2 linked regions of the Oryctolagus cuniculus genome follow. The protein of the gene in region 1 interacts with the protein of each later gene in a biochemical or structural test. Links are inferred from orthologs where the notes say so. Each region holds a gene or a part of one and is shown on either strand. Other genes may lie near its edges. The genes, in order: BIRC3 and RIPK2.

The links.
Region 2: the proteins of BIRC3 (region 1) and RIPK2 form a complex in vitro, tested with the Homo sapiens proteins (2 studies listed by BioGRID, with this or other methods). The link is inferred for Oryctolagus cuniculus from reciprocal best matches to the Homo sapiens genes BIRC3 and RIPK2.

The regions. Positions count from the first base shown.
Region 1 is NC_091432.1:94,034,738-94,039,205, reverse strand, and holds the start of BIRC3 (baculoviral IAP repeat-containing protein 3), read right to left. Parts: upstream 2,998-4,468; 5' UTR 2,786-2,997; exon of another isoform or gene 2,780-2,785; intron 1-2,779. UniProt on the Homo sapiens protein: Multi-functional protein which regulates not only caspases and apoptosis, but also modulates inflammatory signaling and immunity, mitogenic kinase signaling and cell proliferation, as well as cell invasion and metastasis.
Region 2 is NC_091437.1:114,996,646-115,001,026, reverse strand, and holds the start of RIPK2 (receptor-interacting serine/threonine-protein kinase 2), read right to left. Parts: upstream 3,088-4,381; 5' UTR 2,687-3,087; coding exon 2,514-2,686; exon of another isoform or gene 2,482-2,513; intron 1-2,481.

The sequences.
Region 1 (4,468 bases):
ACTGTACTGAGTATGTGCTATGTACAAGATGATATAGTAGACACTGCAGGAACCACGAAATCCCAGATAAAGACCAGAAATATCCTGTGACCAGGAGACATACTATGTTAGGCTGGCACAGAATTAGATTATAATATCTTACTAATTTTTTTAACTTTTTGTGTTAAAATTAATTTATTCTTAGAGAAAACTTGTAAAAAGACTATTCACATACTCTGCACTCAGCTTCCCCAAAGTTAACATCTTCTATAACCATAGTATAATTATAGAGACCAGAAAATTAACATTGATAGAAAGCCAATTTTCCAAACCAGGTTTTTTTTGGACCACAATATCTTCAAATCTTATAGTAAGTTAATTGCCGCATTTTTCAATGTAAGAGATTTCCTAAGACATTCTAGATTCAAAACTTCTCTTAAAAACAAAAATAAAAACAAAACATGAGAATCTGGCAGCTCAGCCCTGTATCCCTGCTTGGCAATCCTAGCAAGAGAGCAGAGCACCAGCCGTACCTTTCAGACGGGGCACCTGCTCTCCACTTTGGCACTGTATTTTGACTGCCTGACACAGAGACCGTCAGTTACTATTTGTCATTCACCTGGCACTGTTATTTTTCTTACAATAGAATTATAAGAAACATGAAATTCTTACAACTCTCATGTTCATCAATAGTAACCAAATGAGAGGTAGACAAAGAGGGACACATATTTGGAGAAAAATGAGAGGGAAGCATATTTCTTTGTGGAGATGAAGACTATCTCAAAGAAGCTCTGATACCTATATTTAAAAGACCATATATTTATATTATTAAAATTGATTTTATTTGTTTTATATTATGCATAAATTATATAGATGTTTTATGAAATATATTTCAAAGGCTATAAAAGAAGATTTGGTATGGAAACAAAGCATATGTTTGTGGAAATTTAGGCAACATCCAATACACAAAAATAGGCTAAGACGTTACCTTTGGATCAATTCAACCTCTGCCTTACCCATTCCCAACACAAAGACATCCAAATGTTGCAGGATTCCACCTACCGCCCTACAGAATGGGACCAGCACTCCGGGCCCTGGCAGCTCCCTAGCCACCTGCCCTCTGCCAGCTCCTTTCTAACCATTCAGTACCCTCCTCTGCTTTCTCCCTCACTACTTGCCATCCCACGATCGAGCACTGTTTTGCTTTCTATTTCTCAAGGAAAAGGGATGTCAAGGAGCAACAGTTTTCTCACGCTCTCATAACCATGTCTTTTTGCTCACAACCCCCCACCCCAGCTGCTTCTTCATGGGACCCCATCCTCTCCTCCTGCCTCAGAAATCTTTTCAGCCCTTCTCCCCTCATTTTTTCAACTGTTAGTCTCCACTGGCCTTTTTCATTCCCTGTAACAATCTTGCTTAAGTTTCAGCTTTCAAGTGAAAACAAACTAAAACAAATCCACTTTCCATTGCAGCCAGTGCCCTGTGTCTCACCTGCCTTTTTCAGTGAGCAAACCGAACCTGTGTCTACGGTTAATTTTGTCCGTGTTTTGTCTCTCATTTACTCCGTACAACCAGCACCATGGCAACTACTCTCAGCACCAAGGCTTTTCTGCCAGAACCAAGGGGAAGTTTTGCATCTGCCACTGGGGCCCACTTCCTCTTAGCAATGGGCCCAGCTGCTCCAACACCACCCCCTTGGAATTCCTCTTTCCTTTCTGGCAGTTCCCCCTCAGGGCAGCTTGTGTCCCCAGCCCTCTCTCTTCCTAGGTCAGAATTTCCAGTGGGCAGCATCCCTGACTCCTGGCCACTGGGAGTCCCTACGCTTTTGGGCACTCAACAAACTCGTTTCTCTGAGGATGGAGGACCTGAACTTTCCCCTTCTGCCTCCTCTGGACTGCAGGCTCCTTCAGAACAGGAACTTGCCTCAGCTCCCCTCCAGCCCCCCCCAACCACAGCATCCACAGGACTTGGGATCCCACCTAAAGCCTGACCTTTGGGCTGCAGATGGAAACTTAGCCAACATTTTTGCTAACCTGAGGAAAGTTCTGCATGGCTGCTGTGCCCTCATCTGCCTGGGGTTGAGGACATCAATTTTACATTAATGATAAAGACTGCTCAGCCTAGTGTCAGGCACTGGGGCCAGACGTCTGTGCTATCCAATACCAACCAGTCTCCCCTAAGCAAGAGCAGGACTTTAGACAAGTAAATCTACAAGAGCCTCAGTATCAAAAGGCAGAATACATTACAGTACCTGCTTCTTAAGATGGTGATCATCAAACAGGAAAAATACATGTAAAATTACTAGAATTGTTCTTTTGGCATTAAGTAAAACACCTCCAACAATTTACTGATTGGTTTAAGAGCCCCCTTGGGTTTCCATGGTGACCCCAAGCAAGTGCATGTGCCACCACCGCTCAGGAGCATCCCTCTGCCGGTTCCCTAAGTATTTTACTGAGACTGCTGCGTCCAGCTCCAGCTTGGGCTTTGTCCTGAAGCATATCTGGAACCCTCCAAGCCCCAGTGACACTTCCCGGCAATCGAACTGAGATGTCAAAGCTTCACCATTTCCACTGGTGCACCCCTAAGTGAAATAGAAACTGCAGCCGGCAGGAAGGTGGGATGGAACAGGAAGGAAGGAGAGAAGCCCGCCGGATCCTGCTGCGGCGCCAGCACCCCTGGGCGGGCGGCAGGGCGGGCAGAGGCTCGGCAGCCGCTCGCCCGGAGCCACCTCTCTTCCCCGCGCCGTGGGCGGAGGGGCGCACAGAGACACAGACAGAGACACAGACACAGGCACACGCACACTCACTGCAGCCTGTCGCCTAGGCCGACCGCGCCAACACCGACGAGCTGGGTCCCCGCGAGTGACACCTGCCGCCCCGCTTGTGGCTGCCTTTAAAGGCCTCCGCCAGACACACCGCTTCCCCACCAGCTCTTGCACTTTTGCATGAGCGCGGGTGCTTTCCTTTTAGGACCTAGGGGAATTCCAGCGGTAATAACCACACATACTTCCCCTTAATCAGTGGCCTGGCAAACCCAGTCGGGGATTTCCGTGGCCCTGAAAGATGACTCTTGCTTAACGTATTTACTGCAAGACCTTTGCTCCATTGTTCCTGGGTGGAAGGAAATCTTGATAACCAGTGCAGAATGGTGGTCAGCCTCACCCTGACCCCTACCCTCCCATGGCATGTACTTGGCAGGTGCAAAAGGTCAGACTTTCCAGCCTTCTCTAGGGGCCTCGAGAAGTTCAGTATTTAAAAAAAATACAAATACATTGAAAATTTGTGAAATCGTTTGTTAGTTTTACTTTTAGTTCTGATTATAATAGAGCTGAAAGGAAATGTAGGGTATGTTAAAAAGTCATGCAGCTTTCCTTTTCAGTTTATTTTTTACTGTTCTAAAGATTGAAATGACTATTTCCTAAACTGAAAGGCTTTCCATTTTGTCTTCTTTTCTTTGGGTGGGGTTTTTAACAAGTAGGGTGGACTTGGCTAGAAAGAAGAAATTCCTCTTTTTTAGCCTTTTGTCTCACAAGGGAGGCCTTTAAGTTGTAGTGAGGTTGGCATGGAAACCTGAGGCCTCTGTGTCTAACTACAGGGCCCTGTTTTCCTCCATGTTCCCTAGGCAGCACACTGAAGGCTCTTAACTAAGGGCAACACTGGCCAAGGCTCCAGATGGGCAAAGAGAGCCTATCTGAATTTAACATTTTCCAGTAGAACAACGGTAGTCACCGACCAAAGGCAGAGCCCACCAGCGGTACTCAGGACTTCATTCTGGGGCATGCAGGCAGAGGGCTGAGGTTGCGGCCCAACCAGGCCACGCTGCTGCTTGGGGTGTGAGCATCCCATACCAGGCTGCAGGTTCCAAGGTCGGCACCTCTTCTTCCCATCCAGCTCCCTGCTGATGAGCCTGGGAAGGCAGCAGATGATGGCCCAAGTGCCCAGGCCCCTGCCACCCACACAAGAGACCCAGGTGAAGTTCCTAGTGTCTGATGTGGACTGGCCAGCCTTGGCTACTGGAGGCATTTGGGGAGTGAACCAACGGAGGTAGAAGATGTCTCTGCCTACCTCTGGGTCACCTCTGCCTTTCAAATAAATAAAATCTTTGAAAAAAAAAAAAAAGCAAAACATGGTCTTTATACATTTCTAGTCATGTACCCACCAGAAGAATTTTGCAAACTCTACATTCCCTTACCCATTTTTCACTTAACATCAAAACATAATAGTTGCAAAGGAACTGCAAAGCATAAATACTGATATTTTGAAATAAAAATTGACATAGAACTTTCAGATGTATGTGATGGACTCTTAACACCATAGCCATTTGGCACCCAGCATCATCCATTAAACTCTAAGTCTGGTCATCTTTAATAACTGCAGAATGCATTACTGCCTTGTGTTCTTGGACAGCCCAGTTCCCATACAGAAAGCTAATAGTAGAAAGGGTCTTCAAAGTTTATGAAAAATATGTATAGTGAAAAAACTAAGCATGT
Region 2 (4,381 bases), on another chromosome or scaffold:
ATTCCATCCGCTGTTTCACTCCCCAAATGGCATCAACAGCCAGCACTGGGCCAAGCCCAGGTCAGGAGCCAGGAGCTTTATCTGGGTCTCCCACATGGGTTTCAGGGGCCCAAACACTTGGGCCATCTTCTGCTGCTTTTCCCAGGCCATTAGCACAGAGCTGGATCAGAAGTAGAGCAGCCAGGACACAAACTGGCACCCATATAGGAAGCCAACCTCACAAGGGGCAGCTTTATCCACTACACCACACTGCTAGTCCCCCGAAAAACAATTTCTAATGACCACACCAGAAAGTGGCAGAATTTTGGTCAGATTTGAATTGCAACCATGGGACAATAAAGGCCTAAGTTCTTTCTAATCAGAGAAGTAGGAAGGTTCTTAGATTCTGACATGATTAAGTGGGAAAACAGAGCCAAAAGATTGTAAAGATAGGCTTTTACATTAAAAAAACCTAAAGTATGAAATACATCTTCTATGAACATATCAACAAACTCACTCAACACATAATTTCAATCAAAAAAGTTATGACATAGACAGGGTATTTGAACGATCAATCTCGTAAGAGGAAGGGGGAGGTACACGAAGAGAAGTCACGTTATGGATGGTGACTCACCATTCACAAAAATAAGGGCATGTAACATCATCACATGAATTTATTTTTCTTTCAGGTGATCCCAAAGAACAATGCAAACACTGTCTATACCAGAGCCCAAGAAGGACATGCACAGACACACTGTGAGTCAAGTGCACGGCCTAGCCCTATACCCAGACTACATAAATCTACATAACACTTTTAGTTTACAGGTGGGTAAAAAGAATGAGATGGTAATGCATAATGTTCCACTGGTAGGATGGTTCCTTGAGGCTCATTTTCTACCCAATTTAGACAATGAAAAGTGTAAAGGAGTATGGAAAAGTGTAAAGGAGTATGGGAAGGGAACTCCTTCTTCACTCATTGGCCCCTAAATGTCATAAGGCTGAAATAAATTAAAATCTTGAGAAAGTAGCATCCAAAATCGGAGGATCATCTAGCTTTAAGGTGTGCAGTGAGTCTATCAGTGCTATAGTTACACAGTTAGTTCTAAAATATATTCATCCACTTTAACCAACCACCATCCTTTAAACTTCACACACCCTAGTTCAGCACTTGCTGCATAGAATAAAAGGTGCAGGGTAAAGACACCACATCCTGTATTTTACTGAACCTTGAATGCAAAAGTGGCAGGCATCTCTAGAGAAATCCGGAATCTCCTCTGGGATCTAGCTAACTTCAGCTTGATTGTGAGAGACAGCAAAGAAAAGCCAGAGGCAGACCAAAGTCCAATAATTTGACAGGATTGAAGCTGAGAAATTATCTGATAGGGACACTGCAAAATGTATTAGATGATGTATTTTCAAATTAGAGATGGGGGGACAGAGAAAGTTGCACTCCTGGGTGTTAACTAAGTAAATAGGAGGCCTAGTTATATCCTTGCTGAAAGGAAAATGCACAGAATAGTAACTGGACTCACTAACCAATACATCAGTTACAAGTCTGCAGTATATGGTTGTAATGTTTTTCTGGAAACAAAACAGAAATTAATGCTGCCTTCCTTTAAAACTCGAACACTGCACTAAAAATGTTCCACGATGTGAGAGATTCATAATTTTTGGCCACTTACAAGTCTTCTAGTTCAATTTATTGTTAGCAAAAATAATACACATTTCCTCTGGGGGCAGTCTTTCCTATGAGAGAGGAAGAAACTGAATTGGTTGTTGAGTTTGATATTCGAACTTTCATTACTACACTTAATAAACCACAAACAAAACAAAACCAGCAAAACCAAAACTCAAGCATCACAAACTCTAGAGCAGCACTGTCAAATGAAAATATAATGTGAACCACGCATACAATTAAAAATTTTCTAGTAGCCACATTACAAAACAAGTAAAAAGGAACATGTGAAATGAACTTTAACAATAGATTATATTTAGCCCAATGTGTCAAAATTTTATCATCATTCAACCAATATGGAAATATGAATGGTACATAAATCATAAGGTTTTTGTTCTTGATTTTCTAAGTGTTCGAATTCCAGTGTGTATCTTACAGCACACTTCAATTCACAGGGGGTCACACTTAAAAGTGTTTAACAGCCACCTGTGGATGGATGAGAATTACTTATTAGACAGCCCCGTAGCCCAATTTCGGGCAGAAAAACAAAGGAAACAAAACCCACATCCACTACAGGAAACAGGGCTTTTACAGTTGGGCTGAAAATGCTGATTTTGGGAGTATGGGGAGAGGAAACCCTGGGGAGAGTAAGAGGAGAGGAGAGAGACGAAACCATGGAGGAACGCATTAGCACCTCCGGAGAAGCCGGTTCTCCCCAGGGAGACTGCCTAGAGGTGACGAGGGCAGGGACGGACCCCAGGCGCTCACTGCCCTTCTGGATCTAGAACCCTCTTGCGCCGCGTCGGGGGCGGGCACGCAGCAGGGCTGCGGGCTTTGCGTGGAGGCGCCGGCGCCCTACCTGTCGAGCAGCGGGGTGTGGATGTGCAGATGCTTCACCGCCACCTGAACGCGCCAGTCGGCGTGGCGGGCCGACGACACCGTGCCGGAGGCGCCGCGGCTCAGGTAGCGCAGGTCGGCGAGTTTGTGGTAGGGGATGGTGGGCAGGGCGCTGCAGATGGCGTCCTCGTTCATGGTCACGGGCGGCGCGGGCGCTCAGGCCGCCGGCCGGTTTCGGGTGTGCCAGCGGTTCTCAGGGAGCCTCAGTCGTCCAGATGCAAGCGTGAAGGCGGGAAGCCGGCGAGGCCCTCCCTGTCGCGGGCGCTAGGTATCGAGGCCGGCCATTCCCAGGGCGGCCAAGGCCAGACGCTGGCTTTGCTCGAGCCGGAGCGGCCTCGTCTCCTGTGCAGTGGGTCGAGTCAGCGGCGCCGCGTCGCGCCGAGGAGGAGCTTCCTCTGGCGGACCTGGCCGTGGCCCGCGCGCGCCGCCGCCGCCCCAGCCTGGCCGTCGGGGCTCCTCCCTCAGCAGCTTCTCAGACGACGTCAGTGGCAGCGCTGAGGAAAGAGACGGGCGGCTCGCTGGCGACCCTGCCTCCTGCGGCCGGGGTGTTGCACCCGCGTCGCGCGGTCCCCGACGATCTGTGCGACACCCAGGGGCTGAGGCTACCGGTCAAGGGACTGGACAGGCAGCCAGGGCGCCCCTTTTATCTTCAGTCCTCCTCCCCATCCCCCATCCGGCTTTGGGAAAGTTTTCCTTTTGGGAAAGTTTTCCTTTTGGGAAAGTCCCTCTCAGCGGCCAGCTGACCAGGATAGGCTTGGGCAGCGGGCCCGCGCACCGAGGATTCTGCGAGTCGTCGAACACCAGAAGCACTGTGCGGGGTTGGGGGCTGGGAGGGTGGGCTTATTTTGGCTCGGGGGAGGGGCGCTCCAGACTCTGCGCCTGCGCGGGAAGGGCCCTGTTGTGGGTGGAGGGGGCGTGTTGTCTTCCAGTGCTTCTGGCTGTTTGGGGCTGTGAGTTCATCTGTGTACCGGGACTTCAATCCTCTCTAGTTTACAGCCACATTAGGAGTGTGGAGTGGATGATAGACCCTTTTATAGTGGAACAAGTGCAGGTGCTTAGCTGCCACTTGTTCCAATACTGGAGATCTGGTTTCTCCCGCTCTTCTTAGTTCCCTAAATAACCCCGAGAGTCCATCTCTCTAACTCCAGGGACTGTTGCAAAGATTTCTTCCTTATAGATCTTAGCGGAATGCCCTCAGTGTTTAATAAAAAAGACTGCAAACATCTTCCAGCCTTTCTACCCTCAACAAACACCTTTCCCCCTAAATGACTGTTCTGTAGGGTGAGTGCAATATCATATATACTGGTAACCCAGACTAGTTCTTTAACGAATTCTAGGGCAGCAGTAATAAGGAATGCCTAACTTGAGTAAAGGATTTCTGCTTACAGAGAACTAATGATTCTTGTATTTCTGAATTGCCTGAAATGAGAGTAGTAGCGTTACATTTTACAATAGGGGGAAGTTCTCAACAAATAATGTGTTTAAAATTTTGATAATTTTATAATAGTTTTTAAAGATGTGGTTTGACAGTCTGTACTTTATTGCTTAATAAGCTTTATGCTACAAAAAATGCTCAGGAAAGTTTTCCATTTATTCATCCAATCAGTCAAGAAACTAAGAATTCCAGAAAGACAAACATGACAAAACAAACAAAAAGGGGAGGAAATGATCGAAGTAGTACTTCAAAAAACTTTTCTAGGAGTGAAGGACGGGAGTATCCACATTTAAAGAACTCACAAACTAAAAAAGGCCTGTGTTAAAGCACATCCTGAAAAGAGGTGAGAGCACTAACATACTAAAAGTCTTCCAAGGGGTTACATAAGAATAAAG